2 linked regions of the Oryzias latipes genome follow. The protein of the gene in region 1 purifies or fractionates together with the protein of each later gene. This does not show direct contact. Links are inferred from orthologs where the notes say so. Each region holds a gene or a part of one and is shown on either strand. Other genes may lie near its edges.

Region 1 (5,944 bases):
GCTGCCATGTGATTGGCTGGTTAGAAGTTAGCATTGAGAAGCAGTTGGACAGGTGTTCCTAGTAAAATGGCCAGGGAGTGTATGATTGGCTGTGTTTTACCATTACTGATCCCTCAATGACACTGATATTGAATAAGAAAAATCAATACATTAGGAACTTAAAAGTGAATGAACTGCATCCTGACTTGAAAGCGTTAGGAAAACACATCCACCTGTTGCCATTCGCTGCTCTTCTCCAGGATGCAGGGGGTGTCATAAATAGCCCTGTAGTGTTTGCATATGGACAGGTAGGAGTCTTCATGCTGATCCACTTGAATCATCAGGTTGTAGTACTTCAGCTTCAGCTCCTGAGAGATCAGAAGGGAAATAATGGAAGGGTTTGGTTTTTATCTTTGTTCATTAGAGAGGCTTTTTGAAAGCAAACCATTGAAACACAACAGAACAATGTCAGATATTTCAGCTTCTCACCTCAGTGCCCTCATCTTGAAAGAATTTGGTGTTTATCTTCTTGCTGATGATCTGGGTGCGAACGTAATCCTTGACAGCAATGCAGAGCCTCATCTGTTCCAGGATGAATTCGGCTTTCTCCTTTTTTTCCATGGAGCCGTACGTTTCAACCTGACCAGGGAAGCAAAAGAAGAAGGATTTCTACACAGAAACACACATCTTAAGACAAGTTTCATTTAAAAAAAAACAACCCCTGTTAAGTCTATTTCGCACCAGTATAATAAATAAGCCATATTTGCGCCACATAGCTATTTCGTAACACTTTTGTTCAAACAGAGAGGTAATAAGTTATCTCAGCTTCTCACCTGCAGCTCCTGAAGAATAGCAGCAGCCTCTTTGACATCCCCATTCTGCTCCTTGATGTTTGCCAGAGTCTTTGTTAGTCTGGCACGCTCAATCTCCACATAGATCTGCAGGGTTCACAAAAAGACGCAGTTAATGAAGTATTCGTGTCTCTCTATACAGCAAGATGGTGACCCTTAGCTCCATCACTCTTTTCTTTCTACACACAACGTGTGAGGGAACTACTGCTGCGTCCCTGAGACCGCCCAATGAAAGGACGGAAGCCAAACCTTGCCAGCAGTGACGGTGCGCAGTGTGTCGATAAGCCTCAGCTTGATGGTCAGGTCACTCATTGCGTCCACATATTTGTAGCATTCCTGCACCATTTTGGCAACAGCCTGAGAGAAAGAGCACAGCAGAATAATGCTCAGAGGTTCCAGTAACAAGCACAACACCACCAGAAAAACTCAAACCAAATAAACCATTTGGGCAACATTTTACCGCAGAGTTTTAGGGCCACCAAAAAAAAAAAAAAAAAAAGGAAATTTCCAAGATTTAAAGTCGCATATTTACAAGAAAAAAACCCTGTAAACTACGAGACTAAAGTGAGCGTACAGAGCAGCAAGTGAACGTTGTGCAGCAGCAGAGCAGACCGACTAAACTTAGTCTAACAGTTAAACAGAATGTTAATTGATAAAGTTTCAAATGTTTGGAAGCTCATTTGTTTGATCGACAATTTATTGATGTTTTATTTAATTACGGGTGGCTTTCAGGATCTCTGCAGTCTGTTGATGAAGACATCGGTGTCCCTGCAGATGTCCACTTCAATCCTTTCTTCCTCCACCAAACCCAACATCTCTACGTCTGTGTGACGCTTCCGTCTGAGGAGCAGCACTTTTTGGCATTTTCAACGTTCTAATGCTAATATAACAGACTATTTTCATTCCTCTTTATTGTTTCATGATGAAACAGGACTTTTCATCTGCAGGGGGGGGGCGTATGAAACACCGTTTCCTTCCACTTTGGTGTTTTTTCTACACATGACAGATTCATGACGTAAGGTGACAAATGGACTTCTGGGTATTTGAATGAAAAGGGAGAATGAAGTTGCGATCCTCTGCACCCAAACATGTCTCTGAGTTCCATATTTTACATATAAAACTCCGCTTTACCGACACTGAACCCCGGAAAGCTGGCTACACTAACAAGAATTTGGTTTTGAGTCGCCAAAAGGCTCATAATTTCTTTGTTATTTGAAACCTATCCGTAAATAAAGCTTCACAAAAATGCTCCACATCTTTCATCTTCAAGCGAGGCTCCGATAAACAGACAACGTTGGGGTGTTTCCTCGTTAATTTATGAAATTTTTCTGGTAAACTAACAACTTTATTCTTGTAATTTAACAGTTATGACTACCGGTATTTTTCTTATAAATATACGACTTAAAAGCGTAATTTAAAAATAAAAACTGTAAACTGCCCCTAAAACTCTGTTGTAACAAATGTTTGTAAAAAAAATTAAAAAATGTGTTTTTATTTCTGAGTCATCACAGACACTGACCTGTTTGAGCTGACTCCTCCTTTTGGACAGCAGCATGATGTTTTCATTTAGCGCATCCCAGTCCTTTGCTTCATAACACAACTGGACCACAGCAACAAGGATCCTGGATGTGGATATCATATCTGACGCCTGCAAGAACCACACAGACTTACAGTATTTATATTAAAAAAAAAGTTTGTTTGTTTTTTAAACCACACACCCAAACCACAGCACATTCTTTGTTTCATTGACGTTTAATGGTTTATAATTTTCCTTCCATCTTACTGCACGCAAAGTGAATAAGCCTAAAACATTTCAGAATTAAATGTTATATGTGTCAGTTCCTGCAGTCCTTAATGCAAACTGTTTGTCCTTTGTGCATAAATTGTGTTGTATAAACAATCTGTACAAAATAGTTGTTCCTTTACATTAAACTCAAACTCTTAATCTTATTAAACGCACAGCTAAGCCTCACTGCAATATTACTTTTTTTTTTTTTTTTTTTTTTTTTTTTTAATGTTAAACAATTAATTTATTAATTTATTATAACTTTTTTTTTTTTTTTTTTTTTTTTTTCTTCAAGTTTCTTTTTATTTGAGTATTCAGCAACATATACAGTGTAAAAGACATTCAAACTTTTTTTTTTTTTTTTTCCCTTAATACCCCAAACAAACAAACAAACCCCCCCTGTTGCACCCTAAAGAAAAATAATTAAATACAATAAAAAAAGATTTTGCTGAATGGAGTAACAGTGTTACCCCTCAGAAAGAAGCGATGGATCAATATCTTTGATCTTGCTCAGAACTGGCTGCCAGACATTAAAAAACCCTGCAGTACAACCCTTCATTGAATATCTGATTTTTTCTACGGTAAGATGGCACATAAGATCCACAAGATATTTCCTAAAAGTAGGGGGTTGTTTGTTTTTCCAGTGTAGGAGGATTAGCCTCCTGGCCAGAAGTGTAGTGAAAGCGATCACACTTTTGGATTTACTTGGAAGCCGCAGAGAGAACTCTGATACACCAAAAATTGCAATTGAGGCCTCAGGAGCCATGTGTGTCCCCAATGCGTCAGAGAGAAGTTGAAAGATGTTGTGCCAGAAGGCCCTTAGTGTCGGACAAAACCAAAACATATGCGAAAGTGTACCTGGTACCCTATCACAACGATCACAATTAGCATTAAGGTCTGGTTTGATTTTAGCTAACTTTACTTTGGACCAATGCAGTCTGTGAACCACCTTGAATTGTATAACCCTTTGTCTTAAGCATATAGAGGATGAATAAATATTCTGAAGAGCAGTCTGCCATACATCCTCTGATAGGTCCGTAGCCAAATCTTCTTCCCACTTTCTTTTGGTATGAGTCAGTGGATCTGTGTTTGATGAGTTGATTGCAGTGTATATTTTGCTGATGAGTCCTTTTGACTGTGGATTAAAGGTCAAGATGTTTTCAAGAAGTGAGTCTGGTGGTCGCGAAGGGAAATGGGTGAATGTGGTAGATAGAAAACTTCGAAGTTGAAGGTATCTGAAGAAGTGAACATCAGGAATTTTAAATTCATTTTTTAGTCTCTGAAATGAAACAAATTGACCTTCGATGAACAGATCCTTCAGGGTTCTCAGACCATTTGTGGACCAATATGTAAAAGAGTTATCAGTTATGGAAGGGAGAAACATAATATTTTTCACAACTGGGGCATAGATTGACATATTTTTAAGGTGCAGGCTTCTCCTAAATTGTGCCCAGATTTTAAGTGCATGTTTAACTACTGGGTTCTGTGAAATTTTGTCGAGGGATTGTGACAGTGGTATTGTTGAACAAAGTAGAGAGTGTAAAGAGGCAGATTGACATGACATTCGTTCAAAATTTAACCATTTAAGATCCTTATGACTTGATGTCTCTAGCCAATAAAGTAATGTACGGATATTTGCTGCCCAGTAATAGTATTGGAAATTGGGAAGTGACATTCCCCCATAATCTTTGTGGTATTGTAAAATATTTTTGCGAATGCGGGCAGTCTTCCCATTCCATATAAATGATGAAATCAGTTTGTCTAGGTTAGAAAAGAATGTTTTTGTTAAAAATAAAGGTATAGACTGAAAAAGATATAGAAACTTAGGTAGGATGTTCATTTTAACAACATTAATTCTGCCTCCTAAATAAATTGGTAAGGATTGCCAGCGTTGCAGATCTTGTTTTACACTATCTAACAATGGAATAAAGTTTGTTTTGTACATATGTTTATAATTGCTTGTGATCCAAATCCCTAGATACTTGAATTTATGCTGGCTTAATTTAAATGGTATGGAATTTGACACATCTTTTAGTGCAACAGGATTTATGGGCATCAGTTCACTTTTGTGCATATTTATTTTATAACCTGATATTTTTCCAAACTCACGCAAAAGTGTGAATAAATGAGGAAGGCTGTATAGGGGATCAGATATATATAGTAATGTGTCATCCGCGTACAGAGATACTTTGTGTTCAGAATCCCCTCTCTGAATACCTTTAATAGAATCATCACCTCGAAGAGTAATTGCTAGAGGTTCAATGACCAAAGCGAATAATAAAGGTGATAAGGGACATCCTTGCCTTGTTCCACGTCCCAGCTTAAAAAAAGGTGAAAGATTATTATTGGTACGAATTGCTGCGACTGGGGAAGAGTAGAGAATACGTATCCATGAGATAAACCTTGGGCCAAAGCCAAATTTTTTAAGTGTATAAAAAAGGTAGTCCCACTCCACACGGTCGAACGCTTTCTCAGCATCAAGCGAGAGAACTATTTCAGATGTATCTGGTGGAGAGGGATGATGAAGAATATTTAAGAGTCTTCGAACATTATGAAAAGAATGACGATCTTTGATAAACCCTGTTTGATCATCAGATACGATAGAGGGCAAAACAGTTTCCAAGCGATGTGCTAGTATCTTAGCAAAGATTTTACTATCTACATTTAATAACGAGATAGGCCGGTAAGAACTGCACTCTAAGTGACTTTTACCTTTTTTATGTATCAAAGAGATAACAGCCTGTCTCATAGTCTCTGGGAGAGAACCTGAGAGGGAGGAGTCATCATAGACTGAGAGTAATATAGGGGACAAATCTTTTGCAAAGGTTTTGAAAAATTCACTTGGGAAGCCATCTGGTCCTGGTGATTTCCCACTTTGCATAGAATTTATGGCCTTCTGAATATCTTCTGTTTTAAAAGGTCTCTCCAGATTTTGAGATACTTCCTCATCTACTCTAGGCAGATTAAGCTTGCTAAAAAACTTGTCAAAAAGTACTTGATCCTTTTTAGATTCTGAGGTGTATAACTGTGTATAATATGTATGAAACCTTTGATTAATCTCTAAAGGGTCAGTTAACTTCACATTCTGTTCAGTGTTGATGGCTATAATAGCCTGAGCCACTTGCTGATGACGAAGCTGATGGGCGAGTGTTTTACCTATCTTTTCCCCATGTTCATATGATTTATATCGACATTTATTTAAAAGATTTTCAATCTGCCGTGTAGTCGACAGATTATATTCGGTCTGAAGAGCTAGGCGCTTTTTGAACAGGTCAGATGAAGGGGAGTTAGCTAGCATATCATCTAATTGGAGAATATCATTTTCAAT
Region 2 (5,723 bases), on another chromosome or scaffold:
GAGCGGCCGCCGGCAGTCGTTGGTGCGGACCCCCAGCTCCGTCTCCAGAGGGTCCACCCGGGGACCCTTCTTGTTGCGGCGCTCCTCGCCCAGCAGCTCCTGCAGCGTGAGCTCGCTGGACTCCGGGATGGGCTCGTCGTCCTCGTCCTCGTTGTGCTCCACGTCCAGGTCGCCTCCCAGCACGTTTGCATAGTAAACTATCTTCAAGCACTTGGTGGACGCCACAACCGCGTCGTCGTCGTTCACCAGGTTCCGGCTGTTGAACTCGTTGCTGATCACCTTGTAGGTGATGAGCTGCTGGAAGGTCTCCATCATGCGGCGGATCTGCTCGGCGCTGTAGTGCGACCAGAGGCGGGCCAGCTTGGCCTGAGCGGCCAGTGGCAGTTTGCTCATGGCCTTACAGAACTGAGGCAGCGCGATCTCCAGGTACTCTGGACTGTGGAGGTTGCTGTTCTCCATCACTATAACAAACAGATTCAGATAGTTCGGGTCCCGTGAGTACACGTTGTGGTACGTCAGGTCGCACTCCACGTTGGGGGAGAGGTAAACCAGTGCGTTCAGGAAGGCGGCCTCTATCTTCTCGTTGGACAGGAGGCGCTCGTAGACGCGCCGCACGGCTTCAATGTCCACCGAGACCTCGTCCGGCGCCAGCTTCTGGACGTCGTTGTCTCCCGAGGAACCCTCGCCCGGCCGCGTCGACGAGGACGGGGAGTCCTCCTCCATGGCCGTAGCGGAGCACGCCGCTGCCTCCTTCTCGTCCTCGTCCTTGTCCTCGTCCTTGCCCTGGAGGGACTTCAGCTCCTCCTTGGTGTGGGGTTTGGACCGCCGGAAGCTCTGCACCAGCCCCTCGGCGCTGGAGAAGACCCGGCCGATTACTCGGATCAGCGGGGAGTAATCCTCCTTCTCCCCGCACATGCCCAAGATCTCGTACACCTTCTCCTCCGTCAGGTAAGATACATCTACGCGAAAAACAGAGCGGGTGAAACCGGTAGAACAGCCTTCCCGACAAGACTTCACCGGTCGGAACACGAAACCGGAACTTTGGGCTCAAGCTCACCTTTAAAATTTTCCCGTAGCGTGTGCGCCTCCTTGTGGTTCACCTGCTGGTCGCTGGAGGCAGAGTTGCTGTGCGTGCTGCTCTCCAGGTAGGTGGAGGCGGTGCCTTTCTTGGAAGGGTGCGGGTCACAGAGCTTGGCGTTGACCTTGTAGAGCTCCAGCGCCTTGACCGCCGCCGCGTTGTTGTCCATGCGCGTGAATCCCACCGAGGAGGCACACCAGGGGTTGGAGCAGCACTCATTCCCACAGCCTTCCGTTAACTGGTGGTAATAGCGCTCTATTAGATGTTTGGCGGCTGCTCGCTTCCTGCGTTCAGAGGAAAAAATCAGAGATTTCGGATGTGAACAATACTTTGATTGACAGCAGATACATTCACATTCTGCCGTGGCGCTCGTCTTCTATCAAAGGAGACATCGGCCGCGTCTTCAGGCCATGGAGCGGCGAGCTCCTAGTGAATGAATAATGGACACAATGCTATGTGAGATAAGTAGGACCCAATAACCGTTATCGTTAGTACAGGAAGTACAAAAACCATGTCATTGTGTGAGGACACAGGGTCTCCAGAGGTTAAGTAGATCTGAACACATTCTGTTCAGGAGACACAGCACAGGCCAGATTTATTGACGAGGTCAACAGCCAATCAGGAAGCAGAACACAATGCACTGAACTCATAAATATTTTAGAAGCACGCTGAAAACAAAAACAAAAATCAGCAAAGCATCAAGACCGCGAGGGACCTCCAACACGCTGAAGACGTTTGACCACGTCCTGGTCCAGACGTTATGAAACGCTCCACACAAATGTCGGTGGATCGAGACACGCTTCGTGCACGCGTGTACCTCAGCACATGTTCTTATTATAAACCGGATGCTTCGCCTGGACACCAAAACCGATAGTTTTTCTGCCTCATTTGTACACATTAAAAATAAATCTGTTTACGTTCACTCCAGGCTCTGAAACACTCCTACCGACCACTTCCAAGAAGTCTATGGGCATTTTGGGCTTCCGTGTTCAAAACTCCTGCGTTCTTAAGCTAAAGAAAGCTGATTGGAGAGTTGTTGGTTCCATTTTTGGACAGTTTTTATAACAACAGATCTTTCTACCAAAACGTTGGGCGTTCAGTAACGGTTCTGGTGACCCCTGACCGATTCATTTACACCCAATCGTACTACACTTCTATAGGACCACGAAGGGACAGAACCTGGTTTATGTTTAAGCTCCTCTAAACGGAACCAGAACAGCATTCTAAGTTTGACATAACTGTTGGTTATTCTAGGACAGGAAATGCAGAAGTAAGAAATATCAGACAAGCAGATTTCTGTTTAAAGAACACAATAATCAGCACTAGAGGAAATTTTCAGTATCGAAAGTAAAAGCTCCTGTTAGAAACATCGATAAGTGGGAAAACTACAGCAGTTTCTGGTTCTACTGCAGCTTTTGAGGCCCAACATGGAATCAAAGACGTCCAAAGATGTCGTCCAAAGATGTTCTGAGCGATCGCCCGCCCCTGAACCCCGGACGCCCAAAATGCCTCAAAAACGGCGTCTGAACTTCAGAGAACGTTTCAGCGTCCACAGCAGGACGCATAACAGAGCGGCCCCTAGCACATCTCGGGTACAATACAGAATTCCTGACGCTATCAGCGTCTTCAAAAAGCAACGGCTCAATTCTTTCTAGTAAAAACGTAATAAATCCGAAGTGTTAGTCGTGAAAGCAAACAGCCCTTTGATGAACGCACACAGACGTGGGGAACCACAGGAACAGACGGACACAGAACGGACATCCAGACGGCTCTGGGCGCTCGTTGGGGACTTACATTCGGCTTGCTTCTGGGTTTTCTACGTCAGGCTCCTCGTGTTCTCTGAAGGAACAAGAAAGAACAGATCACACATATGAAACGGGTTTGGACCGCGGCGTTTACATGCACCCCACTGACAAAAACCCTAAAAACGTCCACCGATTTGTGGCTTCGTTAACAAGAAGCCAGGCACTGAAGGATGTGCAGGTGGAGCCATGAGGGTCTTTCCCACATTCCTGGAGGCTTGGACAAAAGTTCCAGCCTGATGTTTCTGCGGGGGGGATCCAGATGGAGATGATGGGATGTGGTTCTGGCTCTGCAGACCTGCTCCCAGACTGACAGGAGGACCACAGCAAGCCTCCCAGTGTGACATGACAACAGCCCGTGCGTTGGTAGAGATGTTCCCCTTTAGAGGACGCAGTCTGCGGGCTGCAAACAGCAGCAGGAAGCGTGTTGTTAGCTCCACGGAGTCAGGGTGCAGCAGGTGGAGAACCCCCCGCACAAAGACCGGGTCCCTGTTTGAGGCTGGAACCAATCCAGTCTTGGAGGGACTTTCAGCGGAAAACGTCGCAGACTGCAGGTTTCTGCCTGGCGTGACTGAGCAGGCTAATGCTGTAGCAAACATTAGCAGGCCCGCCGGCCGTTTTTTAGTTTCATTTCACGCGCTTCCTACTTTAAAAACGTCGTATTAAACGTTTCGTGATTGAATTAAAATAAATTCAAAGCTGCTCGAAGTGTTGTCTAAACAGATTCAGCGAAAACGCGGAGCTCCCGCGCGGCTAACAGCGGGGAGCTAGCTAAGCTCCCGACATGCCCGGCAATCCCCGACTCTTTCCTGCCCGCGTGCCCACCTGTCAGCTCCGCTCGCCGGGCTGGTCTGGGCCTGTGGTGCCGCACACTCACAGTCCTCCTTCTCGTCGGGATTCATACGAGGCTTTCTCCCCGGCGGTTCCTCTGCGGCTGCGGGTGGCTTCGCTCGGTCCTCTGCGGTCGGTGAGCGCCCTCAACAGCACGGAGGTTTCAGAGCAACGCGGAGGCGGTCCAAGCGGGTCCACAACCGAGCTCGATTCACGGCCTTCTTCCTGCAGGTTCGATCCTCCTCCGGAGAGCTGCAGCCATGTTGACTCTGCCGTCAGCCAGCGTCCCACAATGCTCCGCGCCGCTGCCTGAGCGCGTGCCGGCCTGGATCGTTACTGAGCGGGAACGGGACTCGAACAGGACAGCAAGAAATGAAGAGTTCATCTCATTAAAATGAAATGAATCCAAATTAATTATGTATTTCTAACCAATTTAATGTAATCTGTTTATTTTTCTTAAAATTAATTTAATTCAATTCTTCCAAATCCTCATCGTGTTAAGGTCTTAAATTGAGCCTTTTTGAACATTAATATAAATTCATTTAAAAAAAATTTAATTAAAAAAAAATATATATATATCTATATATATCTATATCTATATCTATATATATCTATATCTATATATATATATATATATATATATATATATATATATATATATATATATATATATATATATATATATATATATATATATATAGATATAGATATAGATATATAGATAGATATAGATATAGATATAGATATAGATATAGATATAAACAGTTGTCAAAGTCTGAGACCCTAGATCTGGAAGCCAAAACCTCAAAGACCAGAACCACAGAAGTCTGCTTTCAGGCGCCCTCTACAGGCTGCAGCCAGAACTGTCAGCCAGTGATGGAGGCGTTTTGGTTCTGTATAAAAGCAGAGTCACACAGCCACTACGGGCATTTTGCGCATTTTCCACGTATAAAAGTTTGGTCTTTCGTGATTTAAGCGTGATCATTTTTGTCATTCATCAACATTTGCAGATGTCCACTGAAGGTTTCAACCGATGAGTCTTTACGTGAATACAGCACACATATCACGTTCAAATACGTAGTTGACGCACAAATTACTAATGAATTGTATATTAACAGACAATAATCATGTTTGGTTCATGTTCTTTGTTGGTTTACGAGTTCTTTGTTGGTTTATTCGTACTTCTTCCGCGGTTTTAACCTGGTTCATTCGTGATACATTTATGAAAATTTCACGTAAAGACCACAACTTTTCTCATTTTTTCCACGTTTATTCACCATCCATGCAAACTGTGAGAAGAGAAACCCTCTGGCTTGTTCAAATATATTTGACAATAGTTATTAATTGTCCGTTGGCAAACATCGGTTTCATAAAGCGTGTTTTTTTTTAATCAGAAATTTTCCAAAAAAAGCTCCTATTTTGTCACCGACTGCTGTCGTTGTTTAACCTTGAAGATTTGACAAACAACAACAAACTATGCGCTACTTGGAAGAAAAAAACAATCAGTTAAGTACACACACACACACTATAATACACTTAAACCAACCATAACACCAATACACACATAAACACAACCACAACACCCCAGCAGACACACATACACCAATACACACACTACCAGACAAACACCAACAAAAACACATACCAGCACACACACAAATACACCCCCACACCCCCAACAGACACACTATTAAACATACAACACAGACACATACACACAGAACCCACAGATTGATTGACAGTCAAATAAAGCTTTATTTCAAATCAGAAGTTACACGTTACAGAAGATCTGGACCGCCACGGTTCCTCAACATCTCCTCAGATCCAGCTGGAAGGTTCTCTGCAGGCTGGCGATGCTGGCGTCCAGAGCCGCCAGGCCGTCCCTGAACGCCGCCTCGTCCCTGGTGTCAAAGGTGGAGGAGGACCTGGCGCTCCAGGCCGACCACAAGGAGGCGGAGTCACAGAGAGACGGGGAGCGGAGGCGCCGCGCACACCCGCCCACCAGGTCTGTG

Evidence for each region.
Region 2: the proteins of psmd12 (region 1) and ubiquitin-protein ligase E3A purify together in Homo sapiens (affinity purification with mass spectrometry; 4 studies listed by BioGRID and IntAct, with this or other methods). This does not show direct contact. The link is inferred for Oryzias latipes from reciprocal best matches to the Homo sapiens genes PSMD12 and UBE3A.

The regions. Positions count from the first base shown.
Region 1 is NC_019859.2:31,314,701-31,320,644, forward strand, and holds part of psmd12 (26S proteasome non-ATPase regulatory subunit 12), read right to left. Parts: intron 2,479-5,944; coding exon 2,350-2,478; intron 1,188-2,349; coding exon 1,080-1,187; intron 918-1,079; coding exon 813-917; intron 619-812; coding exon 469-618; intron 348-468; coding exon 213-347; intron 1-212.
Region 2 is NC_019860.2:926,320-932,042, forward strand, and holds the start of ubiquitin-protein ligase E3A, read right to left. Parts: upstream 4,058-5,723; 5' UTR 3,783-4,057; coding exon 3,706-3,782; intron 2,918-3,705; coding exon 2,873-2,917; intron 1,363-2,872; coding exon 1,058-1,362; intron 960-1,057; coding exon 1-959. Other genes in the region: RNA polymerase II degradation factor 1, read right to left, coding at 5,519-5,723. UniProt on the Homo sapiens protein: E3 ubiquitin-protein ligase which accepts ubiquitin from an E2 ubiquitin-conjugating enzyme in the form of a thioester and transfers it to its substrates.